Linked DNA regions of Coturnix japonica. The protein of the gene in region 5 interacts with the protein of the main gene of each other region in a pairwise test. Links are inferred from orthologs where the notes say so. Each region holds a gene or a part of one and is shown on either strand. Other genes may lie near its edges. The genes, in order: TRIM54, CREB5, KANSL1, SMARCE1, KIFC3, STX11 and ATF2.

Evidence for each region.
Region 1: the proteins of KIFC3 (region 5) and TRIM54 interact in binary tests that used the Homo sapiens proteins (3 or more experiments, as listed by UniProt). The two-hybrid records come from large-scale screens. The link is inferred for Coturnix japonica from reciprocal best matches to the Homo sapiens genes KIFC3 and TRIM54.
Region 2: the proteins of KIFC3 (region 5) and CREB5 interact in binary tests that used the Homo sapiens proteins (3 or more experiments, as listed by UniProt). The two-hybrid records come from large-scale screens. The link is inferred for Coturnix japonica from reciprocal best matches to the Homo sapiens genes KIFC3 and CREB5.
Region 3: the proteins of KIFC3 (region 5) and KANSL1 interact in binary tests that used the Homo sapiens proteins (3 or more experiments, as listed by UniProt). The two-hybrid records come from large-scale screens. The link is inferred for Coturnix japonica from reciprocal best matches to the Homo sapiens genes KIFC3 and KANSL1.
Region 4: the proteins of KIFC3 (region 5) and SMARCE1 interact in binary tests that used the Homo sapiens proteins (3 or more experiments, as listed by UniProt). The two-hybrid records come from large-scale screens. The link is inferred for Coturnix japonica from reciprocal best matches to the Homo sapiens genes KIFC3 and SMARCE1.
Region 6: the proteins of KIFC3 (region 5) and STX11 interact in binary tests that used the Homo sapiens proteins (3 or more experiments, as listed by UniProt). The link is inferred for Coturnix japonica from reciprocal best matches to the Homo sapiens genes KIFC3 and STX11.
Region 7: the proteins of KIFC3 (region 5) and ATF2 interact in binary tests that used the Homo sapiens proteins (3 or more experiments, as listed by UniProt). The two-hybrid records come from large-scale screens. The link is inferred for Coturnix japonica from reciprocal best matches to the Homo sapiens genes KIFC3 and ATF2.

What each region holds. Positions count from the first base shown.
Region 1 is NC_029518.1:95,417,684-95,421,971, forward strand, and holds the start of TRIM54 (tripartite motif-containing protein 54), read right to left. Parts: upstream 2,801-4,288; 5' UTR 2,734-2,800; coding exon 2,566-2,733; intron 2,426-2,565; coding exon 2,253-2,425; intron 1,860-2,252; coding exon 1,688-1,859; intron 1,594-1,687; coding exon 1,498-1,593; intron 1,254-1,497; coding exon 1,020-1,253; intron 934-1,019; coding exon 911-933; intron 757-910; coding exon 632-756; intron 549-631; coding exon 456-548; intron 317-455; coding exon 278-316; intron 1-277. Other genes in the region: DNAJC5G (dnaJ homolog subfamily C member 5G), read right to left, coding at 3,366-3,448, 3,687-3,831. UniProt on the Homo sapiens protein: May bind and stabilize microtubules during myotubes formation.
Region 2 is NC_029517.1:30,422,836-30,426,967, reverse strand, and holds the start of CREB5 (cyclic AMP-responsive element-binding protein 5), read right to left. Parts: upstream 2,820-4,132; 5' UTR 2,700-2,819; intron 1-2,699. UniProt on the Homo sapiens protein: Binds to the cAMP response element and activates transcription.
Region 3 is NC_029542.1:2,360,656-2,364,193, reverse strand, and holds part of KANSL1 (KAT8 regulatory NSL complex subunit 1), read right to left. Parts: intron 2,250-3,538; coding exon 2,064-2,249; intron 1,779-2,063; coding exon 1,617-1,778; intron 1,314-1,616; coding exon 1,165-1,313; intron 1-1,164. UniProt on the Homo sapiens protein: Non-catalytic component of the NSL histone acetyltransferase complex, a multiprotein complex that mediates histone H4 acetylation at 'Lys-5'- and 'Lys-8' (H4K5ac and H4K8ac) at transcription start sites and promotes transcription initiation.
Region 4 is NC_029542.1:4,157,577-4,161,567, forward strand, and holds the start of SMARCE1 (SWI/SNF-related matrix-associated actin-dependent regulator of chromatin subfamily E member 1), read right to left. Parts: upstream 2,801-3,991; 5' UTR 2,683-2,800; intron 2,583-2,682; exon of another isoform or gene 2,564-2,582; intron 2,305-2,563; 5' UTR 2,261-2,304; coding exon 2,254-2,260; intron 1,713-2,253; coding exon 1,669-1,712; intron 1-1,668. UniProt on the Homo sapiens protein: Involved in transcriptional activation and repression of select genes by chromatin remodeling (alteration of DNA-nucleosome topology).
Region 5 is NC_029526.1:1,977,813-1,981,350, forward strand, and holds part of KIFC3 (kinesin-like protein KIFC3), read right to left. Parts: exon of another isoform or gene 3,181-3,538; intron 3,086-3,180; coding exon 2,965-3,085; intron 1,990-2,964; coding exon 1,793-1,989; intron 631-1,792; coding exon 565-630; intron 490-564; coding exon 349-489; intron 283-348; coding exon 43-282; intron 1-42. UniProt on the Homo sapiens protein: Minus-end microtubule-dependent motor protein. Involved in apically targeted transport. Required for zonula adherens maintenance.
Region 6 is NC_029518.1:41,265,579-41,269,671, reverse strand, and holds the start of STX11 (syntaxin-11), read right to left. Parts: upstream 2,805-4,093; 5' UTR 2,441-2,804; intron 1-2,440. UniProt on the Homo sapiens protein: SNARE that acts to regulate protein transport between late endosomes and the trans-Golgi network.
Region 7 is NC_029522.1:14,860,659-14,864,196, reverse strand, and holds part of ATF2 (cyclic AMP-dependent transcription factor ATF-2), read right to left. Parts: intron 3,309-3,538; coding exon 3,190-3,308; intron 2,068-3,189; coding exon 1,939-2,067; intron 1-1,938. UniProt on the Homo sapiens protein: Transcriptional activator which regulates the transcription of various genes, including those involved in anti-apoptosis, cell growth, and DNA damage response.

The DNA.
Region 1 (4,288 bases), on a different chromosome or scaffold from region 5:
CTCTCCTCATCCTCACCCCATCCCCTGCCACCCCATCCCTATCCTATCCCCATCCTCACTTCCTCCCTCCCCACTCATCCTCACCCCATCTCCTGCTACCCCATCCCCATCCCATCCCTGTCATATCCCCATCCTCACTCCCCCCCTCCCCACCCATCCTCATCCCCATTCATCCTCACCCCATCCCCACCCATCCTCATCCCATCCCCTGCCACTCCATCTCTATCCCATCCCCATCCCATCCCTACACCCTGCTCATCCCCACAGAGCATCTCACCATGGGGAGAGCTCAATGGCTTCTGCCTTGGCCCCACATCTGTAGAGAAAAAGCATTGGACAGGTGGAGAGAGGGACACATGGTGAGACCATGCACCGTACATGGCCACGCCGCAGCCACGGCAGCACCGTGGTGACTGCGGCACAGCATAGCACGGCACAGCACAACACACTCTCACCTTCAGCAGCCTCAGGTGCCTCCAGGCTCTCCTCATCCCCTGCACCTTCACTGCTGTCTGTGGGTCCATCTCCATCATCCTCACCCAGCGCTTCTGTGGGGCAGAGGCACATCTCAGTGTGAGGACATCCCTGCTGCAGTCCCCTCCCCAAGGCAGCGCCCGCCCCATGCTGGCACCTGGCTGGAAGTCGATGGTGCGCAGCATCTCAGCCACATGGTCCACATTGATGGAGAAGTGGTCCATGCTCTCATAGCCGGGCTCAGGGCGGCTGCTCATCGACACCTTGGACATGTCTGTGATCCTGGGGGTACAGCAAGCAGCATCAGCCCTGCCCACCCACCCCCCCATGCCATCCTCATCTCATCCCCCTCCCCATCCCATCCCATCCCATCCCATCCCATCCCATCCCATCCCATCCCATCCCATCCCATCCCATCTCACCCTACCCCACTCACTTCTTCAGGAGCTCCTTGGAGTGCTGTGGGGGAAAGCAGAGTGCCGTCAGCATCCCAGGAGCAGCGCACCAAGCCGCAGGGCGCCCCGCACACAGCCCCCCCCAGGCACCTGCAGGTACACGGCCATCTGAGGTTCCTCCATGGCCTGGATGGCCGTCTCCACCAGCTTGGAGGAGGCCTCCAGGTGGTCCCCGTACTGTCGGATGAGGCCGCGCACGCGCTGCACCTTCCCCTCCTGCTCGCGGGCGATGCTCTGCAGCAGCTCCTTCTTGCGCTCCTCCAGGATGCTGCAGAGCGAGTCGAAGCGCAGCCCCACGTGCTGCTTCTGCCGCCGGCCGTTCTCCTGTAGGATCCCCCCCCGGGGGCTCAGGGGGCTGCCACGCTCCCAGCCCGGCCCCACAGGACACCCCTGTGTCACTGTGCCCTGGGGACACCCGCGTTCCATGGCTGCAGTGGGGATTTCCCTCCCAGGAGCATCCCACCATGTGGGCACAATACACCGGGTGGGGGTCCCGAACCACGCAGACCCCACACGCGGGGCCTGGGGGGGGGGTGTGGGGGGGAAGGCACACACAGGGCAGCCCCACCTCAGTGCTGCGGCAGGAATCTTCCAGCTGGGAAATGATGGTCTGGATGCGGTCGTTCCCCGCTACTAGCATGGAAATGCAGTTGTTCAGCTCGCTCTGGGGGGCGGAGCGGCGTCGGGGGTCGCACCGGGAAACCCCTCCCACCGCGCCCGCTCCATTGACCCCCCCCCCGGCTCTGGGGGTCACCCACCTTCTGGCCCTGGAAGATGCTCTGCAGAGGGGCGACTTCGCAGTCCTTGTGAGCACCGAAGACCTTGCACATGGAGCAGGTGGGGACCTCGCAGGTGACGCAGTAGATGTTGATCCTCTCATCCTCATGATCCTTGCACATCAGCTGCTGCTCCGCCTTGGCGTGCAGGGGGCTGCGACGGGAGGGAGAGGGCGCTGCGCCCCACGGCACGGCCCCACGGCACGGCCCCACGGCACGGCCCCACGGCACGGCCCCACGGCACGGCCCCACGGCACGGCCCCACGGCACGGCACACGGCACGGCCCCACGGCACGGCCCCACGGCACGGCACACCTCTGCCCCGTAGCATCCCCCGCCTCACTGCACCCCCAGCCCCACAAGTTTAGCCCCAATACCCCCCCACCCAGGCTCATTCCCCCTCGTGTCCCCTGCACAGCCCTCCATACCACACAAGCCACGGCATCCCCCGCCCCACCTCACCCCACGGTGCCCTTGAGCCCCTTTAGCCCCAATCACCCCCCCCCCATCCCCACGGGCTCCCTCCCACGCGTGTCCCGCCCCGCACCGCGCCGACTCCTGCTTGTAGATGTCGATGATGTTCTCCACCAGCAGGTTCCTCTGCAGCCCGTACACACCGTGCCGGTCCAGCAGGACCTCATGGCGACACGTAGGGCAGCGGAACCGGCCCCCGGACGGCCCCGCGCCGGAACCCCGGGACTGCCACAGCGGGTTGGAGGCCTGGGGGGGCAGGGGGGAAAGGAGAGAGCAGGGCAGGGGGGGAAGGAGGGGTTAGCGAACCGCTCCGAGACAGAGATCCCCCCTCCTCCCGTGTACGGAGCCCCCAACCCCGGGCACAGCCCGGTCCCTGCGCCCCGCACCTGGAAGATGTCGTTGGCACACTTGCGGCAGAGGTTATGCTGGCAGGGCAGGATGACCACAGGCTTGCTGAACATCTCCAGGCAGATGGGGCACAGTAGCTGCTTCTCCAGGCTCTCCATGCTTCGCGCTTCCGCCAGCAGCGGCTTCAGCCCCACGGCGAAGTTCATCGCCGCGGTCCCGGTACCTCTCCGGTACCGCTCCGGCCCCTCACTGCCCCGCTCCGGCCCCGCAGCGCTAATTTTAGCCGCCCCCGCCCCGTCGGGGCCGCGCAGCTGTCGGCGGCGTCGGGTGACACTGAGTCACGGCGGGCGGCCGTCCCACCGCCGGGGTCACTCCGTCCCGACGCCCCCCGGGAGCGGCACGGCGCTGCCCCCCCCCAGCCCGGCTCCACAGCCGCCGCTCCGAGACGAGAGAGCGACACCGCCGAGCTCCCCCCCATCATCCTTTAATGGTGCCCATATAACATATACAAACCCACGGAAAGTGCCTGAAGGGTCCCAGCCCCATAACGAGCGCGGTGCGGCCCCACGGCGAGGCAGAGTGGGGCGCGACGGGAGGCCCCTCTCCGACCCCTCCTCCTCCCCCCCCATACCAGCCCCAGAGCAGCGTTTGGCACCCAGCTCCCGTCAGGGGGGTCCGGCCCCGGGGTTACAGTGCTACCGGTCTCAGTCACAGCGCTGTAGGACGGTTTCACCTGAGATTGTACACCCCCCTCCCCACCCCACGATGGGGTCTTGGGAAGCGGCGGTGGTCCCGGAGGAGGCTTTACCCCCCACCCCCCTCCGGCACATAGGTGGCCCTATGCCTCGCTCCTGGCTCCGGCAGCAGGCAGGGGCTGGGCGTTGCTTGCGGGGGGCTGCGCTTCCACCGGGACCTGTGGGTCTGGAAAGAAAATGTGTGGGTCAGTGGAACCAGGAGGGAGTCCTGGGGTCCTGGCAGCGATCCGGGGCTGCCCCTGGCACCAGCACGGCCCTCATGTCTCTGTTCCTCTGTTAAGGAAACCGAGAGAGCCCCCAACCCACGTGTCCCACCAGCCCCCGAGCCCGGTGCAGCCCCCCCTGCAGGTCTCTGTGAGCCGGGAGCATCGTGGGGGGGGTCACCATTTTGGACCCCAACTCACCGCCACCATCGTCCGCCTCCAGGTCCTTGGGGTCGACGTACTTATAGGACTCGTCCTCGCGGGGTGGGCAGCACTTCCCGCAGCAGAAGAAGCAGCAGCAAAAACAGCAGCAGCAGGTCAGCAAACCACAGCACAGCGCCAGGGCCTGCGGGATGGGATGTCACAGCCTGAGGCTTCCCAGAGACCCCCGAGGCTTCCCCGAGACCCCCAATATGCCCTAAGAGCTTGGGATTGCCATGAGACCCATGGGGCTGCTCTGAGACCACAGGGCCCAGCTGCCATGGAGATCCCCTGGGCCACTATCAGACCCCAGGGCCACCTGAGACCCCAGACCCAGACATTGTGAGACCCCAGGGCTGCCTTGAGACCTTTGGGGCCACATAGAGACCTCAGTGTCCTGCTGCCATGAGAATCCCAGGGCCACTGTAGGATGCCTGGAGCCACCCTAAGACCTTGGGGTCCTCCTGAGACCCCAGACCCAAGCACTGGGAGACACCAGGCTGCCCTGAGTCCCCTGTGGCCTCACTGAGACCCCTGGGGCTGCCCTGAGGCCCCAGTGTCCAGCTGCCCTGAGAATCCAGGGCCACTGTGAGACTCCAGGG
Region 2 (4,132 bases), on a different chromosome or scaffold from region 5:
GAGAGGGTTCTGAGCATCCAAAATGCAGAAAGCTTTAAAAATACCACAATTTGAACTTCTGGAAGAGTGCCACCCAATATCCGAGAGTGGCAAAGGGAGCTTATTGCCTTTTATATGTGCTCTCATGAAACGCTCTGATTTCAAGCATCGGTCTGCGAGTCTCCAATCAAAACTGTAGCAACTGGAGACTGAAGCAGTTTCTTTCTTTCTTTCTTTTTTTTTTTTAAGCCATAAACTCATTATTTCTATTTCCTGCTTCAGTCAAGTGTTTCATTTAAAGTTTTGAAACTTTTATGATCTCAGCAGATGCAAGCAAACACAAATCCCATTTAAGCAAATGGGACAAGCAGAAATGTCCCGAAACCTGTGGGCAGCAGCAGGCACTGGTTCTACATGAGCCACGCACAGTACAGATGAAGGAGAAATCCTTGGTTAGTTATCATAGAAAGACGCTCCTTACCATTATCTGCAGAGCACAGTCAGGTCCAAGCCGTTTTGTTCAGCCACCGCCAGCTGCTCTTTCTATTTAGTGACTTTAAAAATAAAACAAAAACAAAACCACCCCCCTTCACAGTGATAGCTGGGGGGAAACTACCAAGAGCTCTCAAGCTTCAGCAAGGAAGGCCATCAGAACGGGGCTTCGTTAAAGCAGGGGAAAACAGCACGGTGAGGAGTCAGGTCCCAGGCTGCAGGGTTTGCCCCTCTCCCTCGCTCCCCGTGGCTGAGAGTAAATGAGCCTAATTTTTCCAATAGCCTTTAACTCCCCAGATTAACCGACGTGGAAAAAGTGACTACAAACTTGTAGCGCTGTCTAGCCTCCAACCCAGCACGGAACCAACTTTGTGGTGAGTGCTGAAGGACACCTCGCAAGCTGCTACTTGCTGGGATCAGAACCCAGAGCAGCGCTGCGCCCTCTAGTTCGCTCCGCCCGCGGGAGGGATGGATGGATGGATGGATGGACGGGTGGATGGATGGACGGATGGATGGGTGGATGGATGGACGGATGGATGGGTGGATGGATGGATGCCGCGGGATGCGGGGCTGCGGCTTTCAAAGATGCCATTGGTTAGCACGGTGTGTTTTCTTTTTCTTTCTTTTCTTTTTTTTTTTTTTTTTTTTTTTTCCTTTAATAAGGTATCACTACTGAGATAATCCACATCCAGTGGATATGGGAAAATTTAGGCTATAATAGCGCGGCGAACTTCTGCATCCATCTTTCATTTACAAGATAAAAGCAACTTTTAAATTAAAGCGCCCCTCTGCTAATAGAGCTTATTATGCCAGAGACGGGACTGATTTTCCTAGAAAGTTGTCCCTGTGTGCATGCCTATTATCTCTGCTTTCCCCCTTCCACTAATGAGCATTTATCTAAAGAGCCCGTTAATCCTCTGATGCGTGCTTCTGGTCAGAGGTAACAGTTTGAATAAAACCACTAATCACTTATCGCTAATCACCGATCATTAATCGCACTTCTCCCCTGTGCTTTGCGACCCGCGCAGCTCCCCTCGGGATTAAGGAGTCACAAATAAGGATCTCAGCCATTTCTCTTAAAGAACTTCCAGCTTTTGAAAACGGCAACCGCATTCACCGCATGAAAGTTACAAAATACCAAAGCGACGACTTTCAACGACACTCTTCTGCTGAAAGCCGACCATCTTTCACCAACAACCCCCCCTCATCTCCCCCCCCGCCCCGTCCCCGTGATTTAGGCGGTGCGCTTGCATCCAGCCTTCACCCTCCGACTCCCAATTCTCTTTCTGCGCGGTTTCTGGCTTATTTCTGCGTGACACTTTCTTACAATAAACTTTTTCTCCGCCGCTGTTCCCTGACGCACTGAGCTCTGTTCGGACGGGGAAGGGCCGGGGAACGGCGCCGGGCTGGGGGGCTCTGGGAGCCTCGCAGTGAAGCCCGGAGATGCCGGTCCGCACTCAGCAGCCCGCTCTTCCCTCTCGAACTTCCCCTAGTTAAGCACCGATAAAATAGCGAAATCTCATCGAGCTGCTTAGCGCGCTCCAAACATCTCTCTGGACTTTAACATAGGGACGTTCCTTTATCCTTACCCCCGCCTCTGCACGACGTCTCTCAAAGAGAGAGAGCCCCGGAGATGAAGGATCACTCACCGTACCGGGACATAAATAATAGAGCAGGCAGAGTTTAGCAAGTATTCCCCTTACACTCCCGAAGCTCTGAGCGTCCTGCAGACTTCGCTGGGAAGAGAGGGCAGCTGCGGGAGGCTGCAGCGGGGGGACAGCGCATCCCAAGCGGAGCAGCAGCGCGGCACCGACCCTCCGGCAGCAGCGGTGCAGCGGGCTCTGAGCCCACCGGAGGGGCTGCGAGTCCCGGCAGCCCGACTCTCCCGCAACTTTGCGAAGCGACGGGGAAGCTGTCACAACCGGGGAGCGCGGCGTTGCCCGCGCCCCTTCCCCATCCCATCGCACGGCATCCCATCCCGCAGCATCCCGCTCCGTGCCGTGCCCTCCCCGAGCTCTGCCCCGTCCGGACCCGCTCACGCTCCTCTCCCCGCACCGTCCCAGCGGATCAGCGGAGGCGGCGGCGGACACCGACCCGTGCGGCACCCGGCGGCGGGGAGACGCGTCCCCAAGCTCGGGGCTGCCCCTTGTCCAGCTCCGCAGCGTTCGCTCCGTGCCGCTCCGCTCCGAGCTCTTTCCCGGGGCAGCCCTGCGTTTTTAGCAACTTACCGCCCGGCGCAGCGCGGCGCGGCGGGGACGGGACCGGCAGCGCGGCCGGAGGAACCACGTTGGACTGAGGGAAGGTTACAATACGTTCTATTTAGAGAAGCATTACATCACCCTCCGTGACGTCACGTGGGATTCCTGAACTTCTAAATCATTGCAGTCCGTGCCGGGAGGGAGGGAGGGAGGGGGGGGGTTTGCCGGGAGCGTGGGGCGGGGGCGGGGGTGCGGCCTCGGATGGTCCCACCTCCGTCGGCACAGCACGGCACAGCACAGCACAGAGCAGCACAGAGCAGCACGGGGCGGGACGGGGTGAGTCACAGCTCCCGGAGGCCCCGCCCCGCACCGGGACAGCGGAGGGGTCCGCCACCCCGCGGCCGGGATGGGGCGGCCCCGAGGTGCTCCGTGCTCCGGAGAATGGGGGACACAGAGAGCGGGACTCAGGTGCCGTGCCCGGGGTGATAGTGCTATGGGATGTAAGGATGGAGAGCAGCCCTGCTGAAAAGAACCTGGGAGTGCTGGTGGATACGAGCCAGCAATGAGCCCTCGCAGTTCAGAAAGCCAACCGTATCCTGAGCTGCATCGAAAGCAGCGCGGCCAGTAAGGTGAGGGAGGTGATCCTGCCCCTCTGCTCTAGTGCTGGTGAGACCTCACCTGGAGTACTGTGTCCAGATGAGGAGGAGACTGCACTCCTCCTCAGTGCAGGAGAGACGCAGAGCTGTTGGAGCACATCCAGAGAAGGGCCACAAAAATGTGCCAAGGGATGGAACACCTCCCCTACAAGGACAGGCTGAGAGAGCTGGAACTGTTCAGCCTAGAGAAGAGAAGGCTCTCGGGAGACCTGAGCGCAGTCTTTCAGTATCTAAAGGGGGGGCTGTAAGAAAGGACAGACACTTTAGCAGAGAGTGCTGTGACAGGAAAAGGGGGAAATTATTTCAAACTGAAAGTAGGGAGATTTAGATTGGATATAAGGAAAAGGTGTTTCACAGTGACAGTGGTGAGGTACTGGAACAAATTGCCCAGAGGCATGGTGGAAGCCTCATCCTTGGAGACATTCAGTGCCAGGCTGGACCAAGCACTGAACATTTAGCTGTAGGTGTCCCTGTTTACTGCAGAGGAGTTGGACTAAGTGGCCTTTAAGGGTCGCTTCCAACACAAATGCTTCTACAATTCTATAATTCTAAGTATAAGCCACAGTTTTATATTACCAATCTACTGAGATTGCTTTCTTATGAATCATATTGCAGCCTCTCAGTGACATGTACACAGATTACAAGAGTAAGTAACGCTTTGAGTGTACACTGGGTCAGAGTTCCTGACTTGACTCTGCTCTGTGTTCATGACAGGTGGTTTTGCTGAATTGTGCTGACTGCAAAGTAGAGAGATGCTGTGTTCCTGAGATGACTCTCTGGTCCCAAAGGAAGGTTCTTGACTCCTGA
Region 3 (3,538 bases), on a different chromosome or scaffold from region 5:
CAGCTCCTGTCATGCACACACACCTCCCAGCTCAAAGCAGCTCCCCGAAGGAACAAGTGCAATGCTGCTGATTCTGCAGCAAAGTTGTGCACGTTGGGAGGTGCTGCACAACCACCAAAACCAGACCCAAACCTTGTCCTGCCCTGCACAACGCCCACACCTCAGGGCTGCTGGAGCAGCACAGGCGGCTTCTGGGGCTGGTTGAAGCCGGGTGCTGGAAACCAGCACCATGTTGTAACCCTGTTAATTGTGAATGGGCTCAGGGAAGGGTGGCAAAAGGAGCAGGAAGGAAGATCAAGTGCAGGGAAGCACGAACAGATTTCATCTTGACATGCTATGGCTGCTGAGGAGCGTCCTGGTCTCCAAAACACTCGGCTCATTCCAGGGAAGCTGCTGCTGCTGGTTGGAGTCTCAGCCTCCCCTGAGCATTACAACCCACCTCACTGACAACAGCTGATGACGCAACAGCAAACTGTTCTGGGAAAGAACCCGGCTGGAGGTGGCAGCCCCAGAGCTCAGAGCAAGGACAGAGGCACACAGTGAGCTCTGAGCCCCCAAAGCCTGGATCCCCAGCAGGGGCTGCACCACACAGAGACCAGGAGCTTTCCTAGGACACCTCAGAGCTGAACAGAGCGGGAGGGAGCTGGGTCCTGCTTGCTGATGGCTTCCAGAAACAGCTCCACAAAGGTTCCAAATGCTGTCATCTGTTCTGGGAGGCTGAGCATGTCTGGGCACACACTATGAGCCAACCCCAGTTATAACGACAGCTAAGTCCCATCCTCAGCCCAATTTACAGCCCAACACACAGAGAAAAGGCCAGAAAGGGGAAGAACCCAGAGCAGGAGCTGTTGTTGTGTCAGCAGCTTTGTGCTGCTGGTGCTCAGCTCTTCCACTCCGTTTCCTGGCATCCCCTGACATCTTCAGTAACCAGAATCCGGACATGGAGCAAAGCCAGTGGGCTACTGGGAACGGGAACATTCACCAGCACTTACTGAACTGACAGTGAACCTGTCACTGCAGCCGGCTCCGTGCACAGCCAGGAGCACAGCAGACCCAAAGCCAAAGCAGGAGGAGAGCCAACACAATCCCATCACCAGCGAGGTAAAGATGCTGGGAAGCTGAGAGCCGAGCTCAGCAGCTCCCCACACAGACAGCAATACTTACGGTGCCGGAGGTGCCCTGGGAGCTCGTGCTGGTGGGAGCAGAGCCCTCCGAGGAGGTGGACAGCTGCCGTGCTATGGGGCTGTGAGGTGCATGGGTCGCAGCCGCTGCCAAGTAGCTCGGGCCACCGACGTCCGCGTGATGCTTCAGCACTGCATGGGGAGGGAGGAGAAAACAAAGAGCCACGTTAGCACCAAATAAAATAAGGCTGGGGGGGTAGGAAGGAGAAAAGGACCATCTGTGCCAGAAATGGCCAATGCTGAGGTGAGCCCTGCAGGAAAGAGAAGCGATTTGTGACTGCAAACAGCTCGTCAGGGGCTGCAGGGAGCAGCAGTCGGGGCGCACGGTGCGGTGAGGAGGCCCAGAAGCAGTGCGATCCCTCTGCTCCAAGGGGAGACAGGCTGATGAGCAGCAAAGCCCAAGCTCCCCCCGAGCGCCCTGGCCTGGCAGCCTACCTTCACTCCTCTCAGATGAGCAGTCGCGTAATCGCTTTTTGTCATGGGCGGGAGGCTGGACAAGCGAGCGCTCAGGCGCTCTCTCGGCCTTGGACACGGCCATAAAATCGTCTAAGGGCGGCCTGTGCGCCTTGTCTGCCTGGGCTTTGTGCTGTGAGCGCTCTGAGGAGGGGAACAGAGAAAGAGCCATGAAACTCCTGTTTTCACCTCTCTTTCTGCGGGCATGGGATGCATCACTGCTGCGATGCTGCGGCTCAATGGCGTCATGCAGCGGGCAGAGCTCTGCATGGGCACGGCCTGGTGTTGGGCAAGGAGGGTCCCTACAGCCAGGAGCAGCTGCACACACGGCCCCTTCAGCCCCAAAGGCTCCGTTTGAATGCTATCCATCCTCCTCTCTCCTCCCGGACCGCACTGCTTTGGGGTTACCAACAGCAGGGGGGCACTTACTGGCTGCGGTGAAGAAGGAGTTCACCAGCTTGTGGCGGTCCTTGCGAGCGGGGTCGGTCAGGCTGCTGGTGGGCATGGGGGCTCTGTGCTTGAACGAGAGCTTTTTGGGAGCTTTCATTTTCTCGTAGGGTTTGTTCTGCCACTGGGATTTCAACATGCTCTGGAAGTGCAGGCTGGTCGGCACGTCTGCGGAGGGAAAGCAAATGCAGAGTTCACATTAAGTGTGTACCAGGAAGCAGCGGGTCCAGCATCACCTCCCAGTCCCCAGCAAGAACTGCCCCAACACACAGAGGGTCATCACTGCACAGCCACATTTGCCTGTGTATTCAAGGAGGAGCTGCTACGTGAGGATCCAGCATTCCCAACCTGAAGCTCTTTGAGAGCAGCACAGTAATACAGGATTCACACCCAGGTATATCCTGGCAGGAGAATAAAAGGCACGTGGCTCCATTCTGCTATCTGTGATCTGACTTCCAGGGCTCTGGGATATCTCAGCTCATCAAACCTACAGGAATACAGACTGGAAGAGAGAAGTTCAGCTTAACTCCTCCACTTCGGGTCAGGCCAGAAGCCAAACAGGTACGGTGTGAAGTTCATCTGCATGGCAGGGCATCTGCCATGGAACCAAGGGTGCTCCAAATGAGCACACTGCAGGGCCCATGGAAGCAGCAGCCCCCCAGGGTGCTCACAGCTGCACCCAGAGCACTCAGCCCGGCCTGTGCTGCCTTTTCAGACCACGCCGTGCACTGCAGTGGGGCACACGCTCCTCTTGTCCACACTCCTCAAGCTCCATTGCATCCCAGTCCCACACAGACGTGCTCTCCTGACCTCAGCTGAAGGCTGGAACACTAATGGGGTTATTCGGTGCCTTCCTTGTGCAGACAGGCCACGCTATGGGGTCGGCTCTAAAAACCATCAGCTGGACCAACAAACTCCCCCAGCAGCACCGTTCCTCCCCCAGATCTCACACCATGTTTTTGCAGGGACTCCAAAGCGACCCTGAGCTTAGAGGAACCTTCCCAGAGCCCACACGAGGAGCTGAGGTGCCCAGCAGCCCTGCAGAGGGGCCAGCACTGCAACTCGGAGCTGCTGCAGCATCTGGGAACTGCAGATGACCTCAGAGGGCAGCAGGAAGGGATGGCAGCCCTGCTGGCAGCCTTGGCAGCTGAGATGGGAATCCATCCCCAGTCATTCCAGAGGCTGGAAAGCCCCAGGACGGGCAAACAGGGCTGCAGGCTGCAGTCACTGTCAGGGGAACTTGATGCTGAGCAAGAAGCCAGAGCAGCCGTGTTTAGAAGACCCTGGTGCTAAAGCTCTCACTGAGCCCCATCCATGTGGGCAGCAAAGTGTGAGAGCAGTTGTTCAACCACTGACAGCCTGCACAGACTGATCCCAAAGGGGAGGGAGGGCTCAGAGAGGGCCCTGAGGGGAAAACAGCCTCCGCTCTTTGCTCATCTCCTGCCTCTTCCTGGAAA
Region 4 (3,991 bases), on a different chromosome or scaffold from region 5:
CAAAGCAGCGCGCAGTATGGGGGCAAAAATTCCCCAAGTCAACATTTACTACAACAGCAAAAATCTCTGCCTCCTCCTCTTGCCATCCTTCTGCCTCCTAACGAACACGATGTTGCCAGCAAACAGGGTAAAAAAACAACGTGAGTGTCTCAAAGCACCATCCGTGCAACAGTAGCAGGAGCAGAGGACTTCACTGGTGGTCTGCAGAATCAAAACACTCTGGAGAACTGTAAGGATTAGAAAAACCAAGAGAGGACGATGCACGGAGCTGCCGCTCTGTTAGGAGGCCGCTGGCTGACGGAGCTGAAGAACCGCTGCAATGCAATGTGCAGGTTAGAAACCACAAACTAATCTTAGGAACAACCAAACACATCTTTGTCCGATCTTGCAGGCGGATCAATTTGTTCTCACCTCCTGGAACATGGAGAAAATCTAATTTCCATGCACACAGATGTGGGTAAGCAGGGATGTAATCAAACACCACAAGGTTCACTGTCTCCCCTTGGTTGTCAGTCTCACTCCTGCACTTCAGCTACTCTCTTTTCTTTGTCCAGAATTCAGATGGTGTTGGAAATAAAGCAGACCAGCCAGGTAAGGGTGATGGAGCGCTGCACCAGCACTCACTGCAGCACCACGCCAGGTTCATGCGTTACCTGCACTGTCTCACACTGGAGTCCCACTTTGTTAAAACCCATTTCAGCAGTCTTTGAAAGCAATGTGCTCACTGTACCCATTCTACATCACGGCTATAAAAGCATCAACATGAACCTGGTTTTGTGTGCACTGCTGACAAAGTCATAGCTTGGCTAAAGGATGCACCACCTCAGTATTCACCCACACTGTGCCACAGGAGAGATCCGCTGCCATCACATTCCTCCTAAGAGCACAAATCTATTGAGCTGTGTGAAATGACACATGCTAAAGAGCATCCTTACTCGTTCATTTGTTCCACTCATTAATATTTTCTCCCATGAGTGCATTGCTTCCAAAACAAGAGCTGCCTTTGCTTTCAGCTGCTTTTCCAACCACAGCACGAGTATTTCAAGATACTTTTATACATGCAGGAATACAACTGGACATCACTGCCACGTTTTCTTAACTGGCATTCCATACCACTTTACTGTAAGTTAAGAGATTTGCCATGCAGCAGACCCCAAAATATCAGCATTTTCATGAAATCTGAGTACGATTACCAGCACGGAGGGTCTCCATTTTCTGACCAAATATAACAGAAATCTGCATCCCATTGAAAATGTGTCAGAAGCACAAAAACGTGCCCTGTTTTTGCTCATCATTTGTGTAAAAGTTGAGCAGGGAGTCTGAGAATGAACCGTATCGACTTGGCCTTCAATATTCCAGCATCCCAATGGGCAGCATTGGCTGCATGAGTTCAATGGCCACACAGGTAAATAATCCCAGTGACTGCTGATTAAAAAAGGGCCACATCCTGCAGATGTTTAAGATGAAACCAGTTTGTTCAGCTTCTTTTTTGCAAACTGTTCTGAAATTGGGATGACTTTAAACAAGGAATATCATACTAACAATGAAATACAACAAGCGTGCTTTTCCAACACAGGAAGGTGCTGCGTCTCCACTGTTACGGCTCTGGTAAGTCACTAACAGCTCTGCTACAGGATCTGTGTTAATGAGAAAAAGCACTGTACTTACGGTTGCAGGAGCTGGGGTAGGAGGTGGAGCATAAGATGGCCTTTCTGTTAAAATATAAACGTAAGCAAAGAAAATCCTTGAAAATGTGAATGAGTTCTTTAAGAGGCATCCATTGTGGCAAATGCTTTAATGGGATTTACTAAAAGACAGACCCAGCTCAAAGACTTTGGAGCACACAGCAAAGGAGAGACTAAAAAAAAAATCAAACCAAAACCCCACATCATTGCTACATTTCTGGTCTTTTATTTAGGCAGATGAAGGAACCTGAGATACGTTTACAGGCACATCGGTTAAGAAGAGGGTAAGGAAACAAAACAAAACAGGGAAGCAGGACTCAGCAGAAGCTGGGACAGATTTGCTGTGAGACCAAACGCTTGGACTGGGCTGCAGCAGCTCCTGAGAGCTCCAGGTGGGCACCAGGAACTGCTCCGTGCAGCCCGAGCTGCAGTGAGAGCTGACGGCACAGCAACAGACACCACGGGAACCAGGAACGGCTGCTCTGTGCACAAGGCCCACAGGCAGCGCCCCAGAGCCCGCGGAACCGGATCCGAAATTCACCAAAGGAAGAAAAGCCCGAAAACTTACTTGACATTTTGACAGGCAAATTTTCAGCCACCTGACGTTACATTCGTGTTTCTGAAAGACAAAAGAACAACCGTCCCATTAATGCCACCCCGCTCAGCCCAGCGGCCATTTCACGGCGCTTCTCCCGCAGGAACTTCACGTTCCTCCGCCGTTCGGTTCCGTTCGGTTCCGTTCGGTGCCGCTCGGTTCCGTTCGGTTCCAGCTCGTGGCTCCACACGGACCCTCACACACCGGCCCGGCCCGTGTAACCGCGGAGGCCGCGCCGCCGGGAAGAGGCCGCGAGCGGAGCCGCCCCGCGGGCAGCGCCCACCTGAGCCCCTCGGCACCGCGATGAGCCGCCAACCCGAGACCGGAACCGAGCCCAGAACCGAGCCCAGAACCGATCCCGGCACCGAGCCCCCCCGCCCGTCCCGCCCCGCACACACGCACCGCTCCGCAGCGCCGCTCCTTTGTTCCTGCCCGGGCCGAGCCGGCTGCGAACACCGCGCCTGCGCGCCCCGCTCCGCACTTTCGCCACGGCCTCCGCCCCGCTCCCTCCCGCGGGTGTCCGAGTAGCGCGGGGTTGATCCGTCCGTCCGCCCCGCTCACCTCGGAGCCGCTGTCAGACCGAGGGCCGCCCCGCGCCGCGAGGGGTGAGAAGGAAGAGCGGAAGGCGTTGTGGCGAATCTGCGGGGAGCGCTGCCTCACGGGGCTGGGGCGGAGGCGGCGCGCGGCGTTGCCGCGCTCTGGGGCCGCGTGAGGCGCGAGATGGAGCGTCGAGTGGCGGGAAAGGAGAACATGGCGGGAAAGGGAGAAAGCGGCTGTGAGTGACCATGAACTGCAGGAATAGTCTGTAATACACAGAGAACTGCAGGAATAGTGTCTATAATATACATAGAACTGCAGGAATAGTGTCTGTAATGCACATAGAACTGCAGGAATCGTCTGTAATGCACATAGACAGGGCTTGTGTGACACCAGAGGGGATAGAAGGGAGAGGAAGCTGGCTGTGATACCACAGCGCGGCCTGCTCTGCTCTGAAGTAACGACACGGACATGGACAGATGGAGATTTCCATTCAATAACACAGGGAATATAATGATGGGAAGATCCGCCAGCAGCCAGACCTGCACCTTGGGGTCCGACAGCGGCACCTGGGCACAACGTCCTTAAGGAGGAGGTAAGAAAATACTTAGAGGTGAAAAGTAACCCTGGTTTGGCTTGGGTTTGACCACATTCATTACATTGTGTTGTACGTTGCATTCAGTTGTGCTTGGTGTCGATAGCATTAAACATGCACAAGTCGCTGCAGTGTTCAGTGCAGTTCCATACTGATCATTCTGGATCGTTATTTATTGTTTCCTTTGCTTTAGTTGGTTGGTTTTTCTATTTATTTCTCATTTCTGTTTGCCTGTGCTCCGTTTCCATGTTACTCTATGTGCTCTTACTGCTGTACAAGGTTTGTTTATAGCGGGTTGTTCAGGTCAGGAGCCCTGAACATGTTTAATGATCATAAACCAGCTTTTGTTTGTGCTCTCTGCCACCCAGTCCCCCTCAGGACGGACACACAAAGCTCAGGTTTTATTGTTTTTATTGTTGTACCGCTATTTACTTTGGTAAGTTTGTATCCCTGTTTAAAGTGCCTCAAAGCGATTAAAACTTAGTTTAAATTCAAGTATTGTAAAACATACAGAGTATAGCACACGAAAAAAGCTGCATAGTGAAAATGCCAGGAGAGGCCGTTACATTCAGGATGCCA
Region 5 (3,538 bases):
CCGCGGCACAGCCAGCAGGAGGCACAGCCCCGCGGTGCTCACCTTTATCTGCTGGGGCTGAGCCCTGAGGCTGGCGATGGTCTCCTGGCTGTCCCGCAGCCGCCGGCTGAGCCGCTCCTCCTCCTGCGCTCTCTCGGCCAGCGAATCCTTCAGCCTCAGCTCCACCTCGGCCAGACGGTTCGTCTTCTGCTGCACCTCCAGCTCCAGCTCGGCCAGCTTGGCTCGGGCTTCCTCCGCCTCCCTCTGCAGCTGGCACAGCCGCTCCTGCAGCCCGGCGTTCTCCTGGCCCCAAAGCAGGCTCAGCCTTGGCCGTGGCACCCGCAGCCCCACGGCTCACCCGCAGCTCACCTGGAGGTGCGTGCAGTCCCGACACGCCGCCTGCTGCCGCCGCAGCTCCCTTAACTCCCCTTCCCGTGCCTTCATCTCCTGCCGCAGCCTCTCATTCTCAGCCACCAGCAGGTCCCGGTGCTTCTCCGCATCCGTTCCCCCCTGCGGAACGTCAGCGTGTGATGGGAGCCCCCCCCAGTCCCACTTTATCCCCCCCCCCGCAGCCGGTGAGCTCACCATCTCCGAGCGCAGCCTGCCGATCTCCTGCGCCTGCTCACGGAGGTTCGCCTTCAAGTTTTCAACCTGCACACATGGGGAAGCACAAAGCTGTGCTGTGCCCCCCCCCAGCCCCCACCGCTCTGCTACCCGGGAAGGGATTCCCTTCCTAACACCCCGCCAGGCGAGGAGGCACCGCACCAACCCCCGTCCCAGTGAGGCTGCCGCCCCATGCAAACGACAACAGCCTCTTCTGAACCTCCGCAGATCGTCATTTAGGAGCTGCTGATTTATAACAAATGCGAACGCGCTCAACATTGTGCTGTAATTAATTATGATAAGTTATAAAGCCACTCCCTTGTGGAGTCGGCGGCGCGGCGAGCTGCCCGAGCGCATCTCCTGCGTGTGCCGGGGCAGAGGCTGAGCAGCTCAATTCAACCCTTCCTCCGCTGCCCCCCACCCCTTTCTCAGCACAGCCCATGCAGGAGGAGGGGGACGTGGAGCCATGGCTAAGCTGCCACTCTCCTGCTTAACGAACGGTGCACCGCAGGGCTGCACTCCCCACACACAGCCCCAACCACTCCCTGCACCTTCCAGAACCTCAAGGATAAACCTCACAGGAAAGCACACCGCCCCACACACAGCTGGAAGGCCCCAGCCATGCACCAAGCACGGAGAAGAGTTGCTCCCTCTGCTCCCCAGTGCTACAGCAGCCCCGTGCCCTACCTCCTCAGGCAGCTCCGGCAGCCGCCTGCTCTCCAGGCTGCTCAGGGACCCCTTGGCTGTGTGCTGGGGGCTGAGGCACGGCCCGGCCATTGCTGAGCTCACGGAGCCCAGGTTCACCCCGTGCTGCACAGCCCCGGCACGCCAGCTGCCTGTCCTGCTTGTGTCATGCAGACTATGCCAACCAGATCCAGGACAATTACATCCACCTTTTTGACACCAGCGGAACAAGCCAAACCTGACTGTAATAGCTTCCACAACATCCACATGCAAATCCCTTTATTAGCAGCCTGGGTTTCAATCTCCCTGTAATGAGGGACGTCCTCACATCCACAGCTGTGTCTGCACCGGCAGGAGGAGCATTAGGGGGTCAGCACTGAGGCCAGTCCCCGTCCACAGCAGCACATCAAGCACCAACACAGACACGCACTGCTCCTCATTCAAGACAGCTGGAGCACCCTGAGCCTTCATGCTACAGATCACAACCCACAGCTGGAAGCCCGGAGTGCACCCAAAGCCCCCCTACCTGCCCTCGCAGCTGGACGGAGATGGCCATCTCCTCGCTCTCTCGGGCGGCCAGTTTCTCCTGCAGAGCCAGCAGCTCCTCCTGCAGCCGCAGCTTCTCCTCCTGCAGGTGCGCCATGGATGCCACCACCTTCTGGATGACGGGGAAGGGCCGCTGGGCCGGCAGACTGGCACGTTTCCCACTGCAGAACCGACCCCCTGCGGCAGGAGCGAGCACAGCGGGGTCAGGGTCAGCCAGCCCCAGGGGGACACGGGCACCCTGCAGGGAAAGGGACCCGACGGAGGCAGCAACAGGAGCACAGCAGAGCTGGGGGTCCCAGTGGTACCAATGCGTAACAGAGGGATGCTGGCATCCCACAGCACAGCCTGAGCTGCCCCGTGTGGACGTGCAGCCACCCAGCCCCACTGCTGCCTCTGATTCACCCCCTCAGCCTTTTTTTCCCCTGAATGAGCAGGTGCCAGTGGAAAAACAGCATGGGATGGTGTTATTAAAGGCTGCGTCACCGAACACGGCAGTGGAATGGAAGCCAAATTCAAATGACACGGGCGACCCAAATGGTGGCCCTGCTTGTTGAGTGCGACTTTCTGACCTTCGCAGCACGAGTTTAAACACAGCTTTCTGCAAACGAAGCCTTAAATTGCTCGGTGGTTCCAGCAGGGGACGAGCTGGACTGACTCACCGCCATGCAGTGCCGGTGGAACCAGCAGCATGGATCTGGGCTGCTCCCTGCCTTGCCTGGAAAGCAAAGGTTGGGAGGCAGAAGGCGATGCTGGGAGCTGCTGGCTGCTTGCAGGCGGGCTGACGCCGTGTGTCAGTTGTGTTTCACACACGTGCTGTAAGGTGTCAGCCATCCCAAGGCACTGACAGCTGTGGGGACTTGTGCTTTCTTCGAGCCAAGAGGCAGCGAAGAGGGACAGCCAGGAATCCGTGCTCCTCCAGAAGGGACTGCAGGAGGGTTTTTGTTCTCCTGCCCCGGGCTGCGTGCACAGCTTTGCTCAAGCACCCGCTTCCTCCTCGTAGCAAAGAGATGCTCCAGCCAAGGGACAGCAAACCCAAACCTGAAGGCAGCAGCCCCCCCCACCCGGTGAGCGCTGCCTCCTCCCAGCTGGGCTAGAAGACACTGCCTGCATGGCCCCATCCCTCAGCCCCGGCTGCGTCCGTGCTCCCCTCACCGGCTTTCTCCAGGCTCATGGTGCAGGCTGCCTGCCCCGGCACGGCGGGCTCACATGGGGCTGCCGGTGGTTCCTCCGTGTTGTACGGCAGGGCCGGCTGCCGGCCGTCCTCCAGCGAGACCTGCAGGGTGAAACGTGCCGCTGGGTGTGCGTGCTCCTCCATCCCCGGGACACCCACATCGCACAGGCGCTGCAAGGACGGTCCCACATCCCCACCCTCTATTGTCAAAAGGAATTCAGCCGGCTGCCTTCGGGTCTGCCCGTTACACGTCGGTGTCGTTGCGCCGGGTGGGCTTCGGCAAAGCCCTGGTGTCTCAAGGTTGAATGCAAAGGGCCGGGGCTTTTCCAGCCGCTACACCAAAGGAAAACCCAGAAGGAGGGAGGAGAGGAATACGGCAAAGGTCACAAAAGTCCGGGCTGTTGTGTAATTCCGCATTCGCCGGCTTGCAGGGAAAAGAAATATCTATCTATTTTTAATGCCACCAGTAAAGAAAAGTGCTGGCGAGGTGATTCTGCGAGGGAACGGCACGGAGCAGCTGCGTGCCCCGGTCAGAAGTTCCCTTCCTTCCCTCTG
Region 6 (4,093 bases), on a different chromosome or scaffold from region 5:
ATCAGTGAGTGCTGCAGGTGGATCCTGCTCTGGTGAATCACCTCAACAAGCCTGACACAGGTCTGCCCAGCAGAACAACTGGGTACAGGCTGCACGTAACTACCATTGCTACTACCAGATGGTATTTAGGCACAATTAAGACATTATCCTAACATCTGCGTGGAAATATGAGGTTGCATGTGATTATAAGTCAGAAGCACAGTGTTCTACAAGCATTTGTAAATCAGCACAACTGCTTTTTTTTTTTCTTTTTTGAGTATACATACATTTAGAGCTCATGGTTATACAATCTGATATCAAGCATTCTTATAGGAAAAAAAAATTCCTTTGTGTTTTAACATGAGGGGTCTTATTGGTGTTTGTTCACGTGGACCAGTACAGGAGGCTGAGCTCTGGGTTCTCCTGCAAAACCTACACACCTCTAACAGAACCAAAGATGTTCAGCCAGGAAACAACCATCACACACACATGCAGGCAAAGTCCCAGCCCCAGGACATGCTGACCAGCAGTACAGCAGTCACCACACAGCACCTATGGGTGTTCTCAGGCCTCTTCAAAGTACCAGGGACACTGGTACAGATGTAATTGGGGGTACAGTGCCACCAGTACTCAGGAAATCTCTCCCTAGCTTTTGTTGATACAAGTTAATCAATAATAATCTTACACCATATCAGTTAAGACTTCCCTGTCTACTGCCCAGCAGATAGAGAAGAAGCTGCACACATGATCAGCCTCACAAAGTCAGGTCCCGTGAGACCATGATTAAGTACAGAAACAAGGCCTAAATGAGATGCACTGAGCGCTGTGTGCAGAAGGCTAGATGAGATAGCAGGATGGTGACACAATCAGCAGAAGCTATCAAAACAGCAGAGCAAAAAAGCAGAAGCTGAACCACACACTGCTGGCTCCCCAGAAGCCTCCCTGCCAGCAGTGTAGCATGGCCACAGAGCATGGGCATGGTCAGGGGCAGGCCTGGAGCTGTGCCCCCAGAATGGCTTCTCTGCAAGGCTGCATCAATGTGAAGAGCCGGCACCTGGGGCTGAGGTAAATTTATCAGGTTAAATTAATTTAAAGTTAAAAAGAAAACAAAAACTCACACATTACTTATATAAGCAGTAGCATGGGAAGCACCAGTTGTACCCTGCTTGGTATCAGTAAGGCCTTGGTTGGAATATTGCATCCAGCACCCATTACCAAGCTAGGAAAGCCAGAGGATACTCACCAGTCTCCAAAGGGTTTAGAAAGCAGGAGACTGAAGAAAGAGGAGAGGGACATAAGCTTGTTCTTCACACAAGATCAGGGAGAAATCACAGAATGGTTTGGGTTGGAAGGAACACTAAAGCCCATTCAAGTTCCAATCCCCAGCCATAGGTAGGGCTGCCACCTACCAGGCAGTGGGGCCTTCAGTACCTCAAAGGATGGGGTATAAAGACACCACACTCTAATGCACAGAAGGAGTTCATAAAAAGAAATGGTTATTTATTTCCAGTGTCATCTATCTGACTTATATGCGAGTTACACTGAACAAGCTGTGATGGGATAAAATAGGATCAGTTCTCCACAGGAACACCATGGAGCCCTCTTCCTCAGAGGTCACCAACAGGCTTCACCCTGTTTTCCTTCGGGCTGTTAAAACTTTTGCCTTTCCTTCTGACTAAAGTTGTGCTCCTCTAGTAGTCTCACCACTCCCATAGAAAAAAGCTTAAACAACAAGAACAGGAAGGCAGCGTCCTCCAAATTGCATTCTCGTCTTAACAAGCCACGCATTTCCATTTGGATCCCTAACAGCTTAAAACAAAACAAAAGGTTCCAAAAACACCACCTGAAGCAGAGAAACAAGAAGCAACAAGAAGCACCACTGAGTGCTGCAGGCCAGCGATACTCTCCCAGTCATTTCCTTCCCCAGTACTGCTATCTCAGACACACACATCACTAACGCTCCTCAGCAGGACAAGAGACTAATGTCAGTTTAATAGGAAGCCATCAAAGAGCACTAGCTCCTGCCTTGCTCACAGACCTGGCCACAGGGATGCCCAAGGAAAAGGGGAATAGCACAAGCTGTTACCTCTCGCTATGAAGCCAAGCACCTTCAGCCCGCACGGCAGCACCACGAGGCAGGAGCACGGGCGAAGCAGGCTGCAGCGCTGAGACAAGACCAGGAGGTACGTTTAGAGAACGCTCTCGTTTCAGCGATGTCCTCTACCCCTTACAGGCAACCACAACCACAGATGGAACCAAACACCTCCGGTCTCCAACCCGCTCTCTGCTGCCGAGCTCACACTTCACTCTCGACTCGCACGGGGCCGTTTCCTTTACTCCCAGGCAAAGCCAAACTGCAGAGCGCTCCTCACACCCCACGGGCCCGATGCTGAGCGAGACACCGACGGCAACACCGAGAACCCAGCGCGGAAAGCACCGTCCCACCCCGCGCAGCACTCACCTCCAGCCCAAACGTGCTTCCCTTCGAGCCGCACTCACTGTCGTTCAGTCCGCGCCGTCGAGGCCAGTACCGGTCCTATTGGAACACCCCGCCCCGTGTCTCGACTCACCGCCCATTGATTTGCATGGCAGCGCCCGCCCCGCCCATCGGGGGGCGGATTTGTACGGGAAGTGTGGGCGAACGCGGGGCGGCTCTGCTTGGCAGTCAGCACCGTGGGCACCGGCAGCCGCTTCTTGTTGTCTTCGGATGTGGGCGTGGAAATACCGGGCTGGACTGGCTACTACACAGCTCAAAGTCCCGCTTCCATTCAGCGTGTGAAAGGAGATGGGCTGCGCTTAGAGGGCTGCACTGAGCCCATTCTTGGGTGTTGACTTGATGATGATAGCAAATAATGGCTGGAAGATCATCTATGCTTTCCAAAGCCGTTCTCAGTTCCCTTGATGCCCCCAAACCTCTTTCACACTGCATCTGCGCACTCCTACCATGTATTTTGTCTGTTGCAAAGGCATGCAGGGCTTCCCATCTCTCTTGTTTCCTATGCTGCTGTTATTTCAGCAAAAACACCTCAGCAGCAGGTAAATACTTGAGGTTTTATGGTTAATAACCAGTTTAAATTGTGTCTGACAGAGTAGCTGTGTCTGCCTGAGGGAAAAGGCAAAACACCCCATAGTGCACTCCTTGCTTCTTTCTGTGCGGAGTCTTTGGCCTCTGGGGTGGTGTTAATTCATACAGGCGGAGCTGAAAATGAAGCTTCATGTTACTGTAACTGTGTGGGTAAAGAATGTTTAGAATCACAGAATCATTAAGGCTGGAAAAGACCCTTAAGATCATCAGCTCAGCTGTCAGCCCATCCATACCACTGATCATATCCGTCAGTGCCACATCCACACGGTACTTCAACACCTCCATGAACAGTGACTCCACCACCTTCCTGGGCAGCTGCCTCACTACTCTTTCTAAGAAGAAATTGTTCCTTACATCCAACCTGAACCTCCCATGGTGCAATTTAAGGCCATGACAGAACAGCAATGGCAAATGAACCAGGTATGCCATATGTAAAGATTGTCTGTGTCATGAGATGGGAAACTTTTAATGCTCATTTCTTAGGAATGTTATTATTATGAGCACTTGTTATGCTCATTTCTGTCAGTTTTGAAATAATGAAAGTGATTAGACAAAGTGATTTACCCATAAGTGAGACTGAGTGTTTTCAGCCCTGTCAACTTATTCAAGTCCTGAGAAGCATTATTTGCAAAGCTACAAAAGTAACAAAGTAGGGTGTTTTTTTTTCCCACTTTATACCATCTCTCATTAGATGAGAGACATTCTGTGAAAGTTGTGTGAAAGGAAATACTCTGTTCACATTGCTAAAGGCAGATCTTACTGCTGTAGTGATACCCATGAGTTAAGAGTTTCCAAGATTAGTGCAGGAAGGCTGAGGCTGATGCTAGGAAATCCTCTCATTATATGCCTTCACTGGGGAGTCTCCAGCTGCAACACTCCCACCTCGAGCAATGCCTTTCAGAGACCTTGCAGCCTCTGGCAAAAGCAGGGGCCTTCACAGAACAGCTTCTTCACTAAACGTCAGTGATGCAACAAGATCCTGCTCACTTGCATGAGGAATGGGCTGCTCACAAGAATTCAGAAGTCAAG
Region 7 (3,538 bases), on a different chromosome or scaffold from region 5:
TGTCTAAGAAATAGCTCTGACAACTACAAAGAAAATGAGAACCCTCTTACACGTACATTAACAGGCTGTGACCATTTAAGACTACTAAAACATATTCAGCCAAGGAGATGGTTACGGTGGCATATAGAATTTTAAAACCAGCTCTGCCCTGAAGAGTAGAAACAAACCTTCCCTCCTTCAACACACCTACAGAAGGAGTATAAAAAAATCTAACTGAGAAAACAGCAACACTCTGCTCACATTTCTCAACTTCTGCAGGCCACATTCAGCAGCAGCACACTCCAAGCAGCACCCTCATCCTTGCTCAGCTTGTCTCTACAATCAGACATCAAAACAACATTAAGCTGCAGCAGCTTTTCACTTCAGCACTGCTACAGTGACAACACTGAATTACGTAATGAATAAGTTTATAAGCACTGCCAGGCATTTAGATACAATTTGCACTTGTAATGATGCTAATGATACTGAACCACTACTGTAAAATAAGATATTAATATTTTCTCCTGCCAAAACTTGAGCACTTAGAATAATTATTTGCAGACAAAAACAAACCTTTCCAAACTACGAAATAAAGAAGATTTAAGATTTAGACTATGATATGCTTGATCAAAGAAGCTCTTTACGTGTATTCTTTTAAACCAGTTTTACTATTTTGGACTACACGATCACTTCAATAACATACTATTACTCGTCTTTGCTAATTTACAAAAATCAGAACAGCTTTCTGAAGACAATTCTCTACTGAAACTCCTCACACTTTCTGTCACATACAGCGTCTGCTGGGAGGATAAGAGAAGTGGTGCAAGAGGAAATGGTAAACTGGATACAAAGAAAAACATGGCCTTCACATGGACAGTCTGGTATTGGAACACATTAAGCAAAGAAACCGTTCATTCTCCCTTCTTGGAAGTTTCAAGGTTGGACTGCATAAAGCCCTGAGTTTCTTGGTCTTAGTCTCAGATCTAATCCCTGCTTTGAGCAGGAAGCTGGAATAGAAATGTCTTACGGTCCCTTTCAGTATGAATTACCTCGTAATCCCAAAGAAGTCTACTCATTTTTGCAAATATGATATCCATGTCCCTCAAATGCAGACTACCCACTAACGATGCACATAGAAAAACTGACCAGAGCAGCCATGTTGCTTACTAAGCTCTGCTCCTATTATTTTTATTTTCATTCCTACTTCATTAATTAATTCATTTCATTAACTTTGCTCAATTCTGTGCTCTCCAAGAGAATTTCTTACGATGAAAACACTGCAAGTTATGTATCAACCTTATTATTAAACTATTTCTTCCTACTACTGCCAGCAGAGCAGTAGTTCTGAAACAGATTAAGTTACAACATTCTCTTGAGACAGACAGTAACTCACAAACCCAGCCCTCAGGTAAACATTAAATGAGCAATTGCTCCAGATCACTGCTTTTAAACATACTGTTGTAGCTGAAAGAGCATGGATTTTTAAACAAAGTTTTCCTGCTTAATTTTGAAAGACCGTCCATCCAACCCCTGTACATTTTTATAGAACATCCCATGCTGCTGCACAAAAAAATTGGTGAGAAAACACAGGATAAACACAAAAATGTACACATGGATAGTCTCAAGCTACACTTCATTTGCTTTTTTGTGATTACTGCCTGATGATGCATAAAATAAGAATAAAGAGCCCAATTTTAACAATTTTTTTAACATAGCAGCAATACTAAGTTTGACTTCCTTCGTAGCTTTACTGAATAATTAAGGTGAGGCAAATAGAAAATTGTGCTGAGCAAAGCTAACTAAAGAATTGAACAAATTAAGTATGTATCCAGGAGTTGTGGTTAATGAAGTCATTTACTTTCAAACAGTTACATAACATGGGTATCAACGTGTACAAGAAACCCAAAGATCATCAGAAGATTCAGATAGTGAATTCCAAAATGAAAAAGGAATCCTGACCTTTTCATCATTGGTAGTAGATTCTGGATGAGGTAAAGGACTATCTTGATGAGTTGTCTCTACAACAGAAGGTTCTTCAATTTTGTTTCTTATAATTGGTGTTGCAAGAGGAGACAGATCTAGAGGCATCTAGATGTAACAGTGTAGACAAAAAAAAAACCAACACACACACAAAAATTAAAATATCTCAAGAAAATATAAGTAACTAAGGAGAAATATTAGCCTTATTATAATAATAACAGTGAAGTGCTGACATCCGGAAGGTCTTGATGCACATGTGTTAGCAGTCAAGCCTCCTTTTTCCAACATCTGTATAAATACAGCTTTTCACTAAGACTTTGTTTGAATTCCCACTGCAGGTAAAAATTTTTATGAAGTTCCTTCCCAAGATTCACAGGAAAGTTATAATTGAGGAAGGACAGCACTACACTTGAAGGCTATGCAATCCAATGTTATCAAAGACATCTGGCACAATTGCGTTTCTTCTTGTCAGCTTGGAAAAGGAACATCAATTTTAAAAGTAGTTGGAATGTTTTCAGTACTCTGTGATAACTGTAACTTCCTCCAAGAAAGTGGTGAATTTCACAGACAACCAAGTCAGAATCAAAAGCAGAATTTGTATTATCATGCAAATGATTTTAGGAAAAGTTACCATTCACCAGCTAAGATTAGGCACAGCTGTGAGCACAAAGCAAAGGTGAGTTTTCATCAAGAATGCACAGGAATGAGTCCTAATCACAAGTATCTACTAAAATCTTCACAGAGAATAACCAGACACTGACTCTGTAAAAACTTATACATATGTATAAAACAGTCCATTTAATTTTAAACATCACTGTCTGTGGAAGTTAAAGCATATAATCAGCCAATGGTAAAAATCATTCAAAGGGGACACAAAAATTTTCATTTGGAGAAGTGTTTACACTTTTGGGCCCCTAAACTAGTTAGGACTAGAAAGTTATAGAAGAAATAGGAGAAAGCACATTTAAACCTGTGGACAGTCCCTCATAAAAGAGCATTAAATGCTCAAAACAGACTGTGTAAATAGTGGGTGTGTTCCAGTGTCCATTCTACTCACACCAACTCAGGTAAACAAACCTTCTGAAAAGTAATCTTAACTTTGTATTCTCTCCATAGAAGACTATACATTGGTGGCTGGTCAATGACTACGGGTATAGTTTAAAAGACAACATATAGATTCAAGTTTACTTCTCAATTGAACGGCAGGACCAAAAGCACGTATGCACTTACTTTCTTAATGTCATCTTCAGAAGCCTTTTTAAACTCATTTTCAAAAGGACTTGCTAATTCATTGAATAAGCCCACTTCTTCACAGTTCTTCAAGAATCGAGTTGGTGTTGGTGTCTGATCTGAAATCAAGTTTACACAAAGCACATGATTTTACTTTTAAAATACCATGTGAGAACAGATGCATTGTAAATAATTTTCAGAGTCAAAGGAGACAGCACCAATATATCAAGATATTGATTTGTAATTACATGAATACATAGCTTTCTCTAAAAATAATACAGGTTACCTGAAGAACAGTAAAAACTATCTGAATGTATTCAGATAATTATTCAGGAGCCTCAGTGGGTTT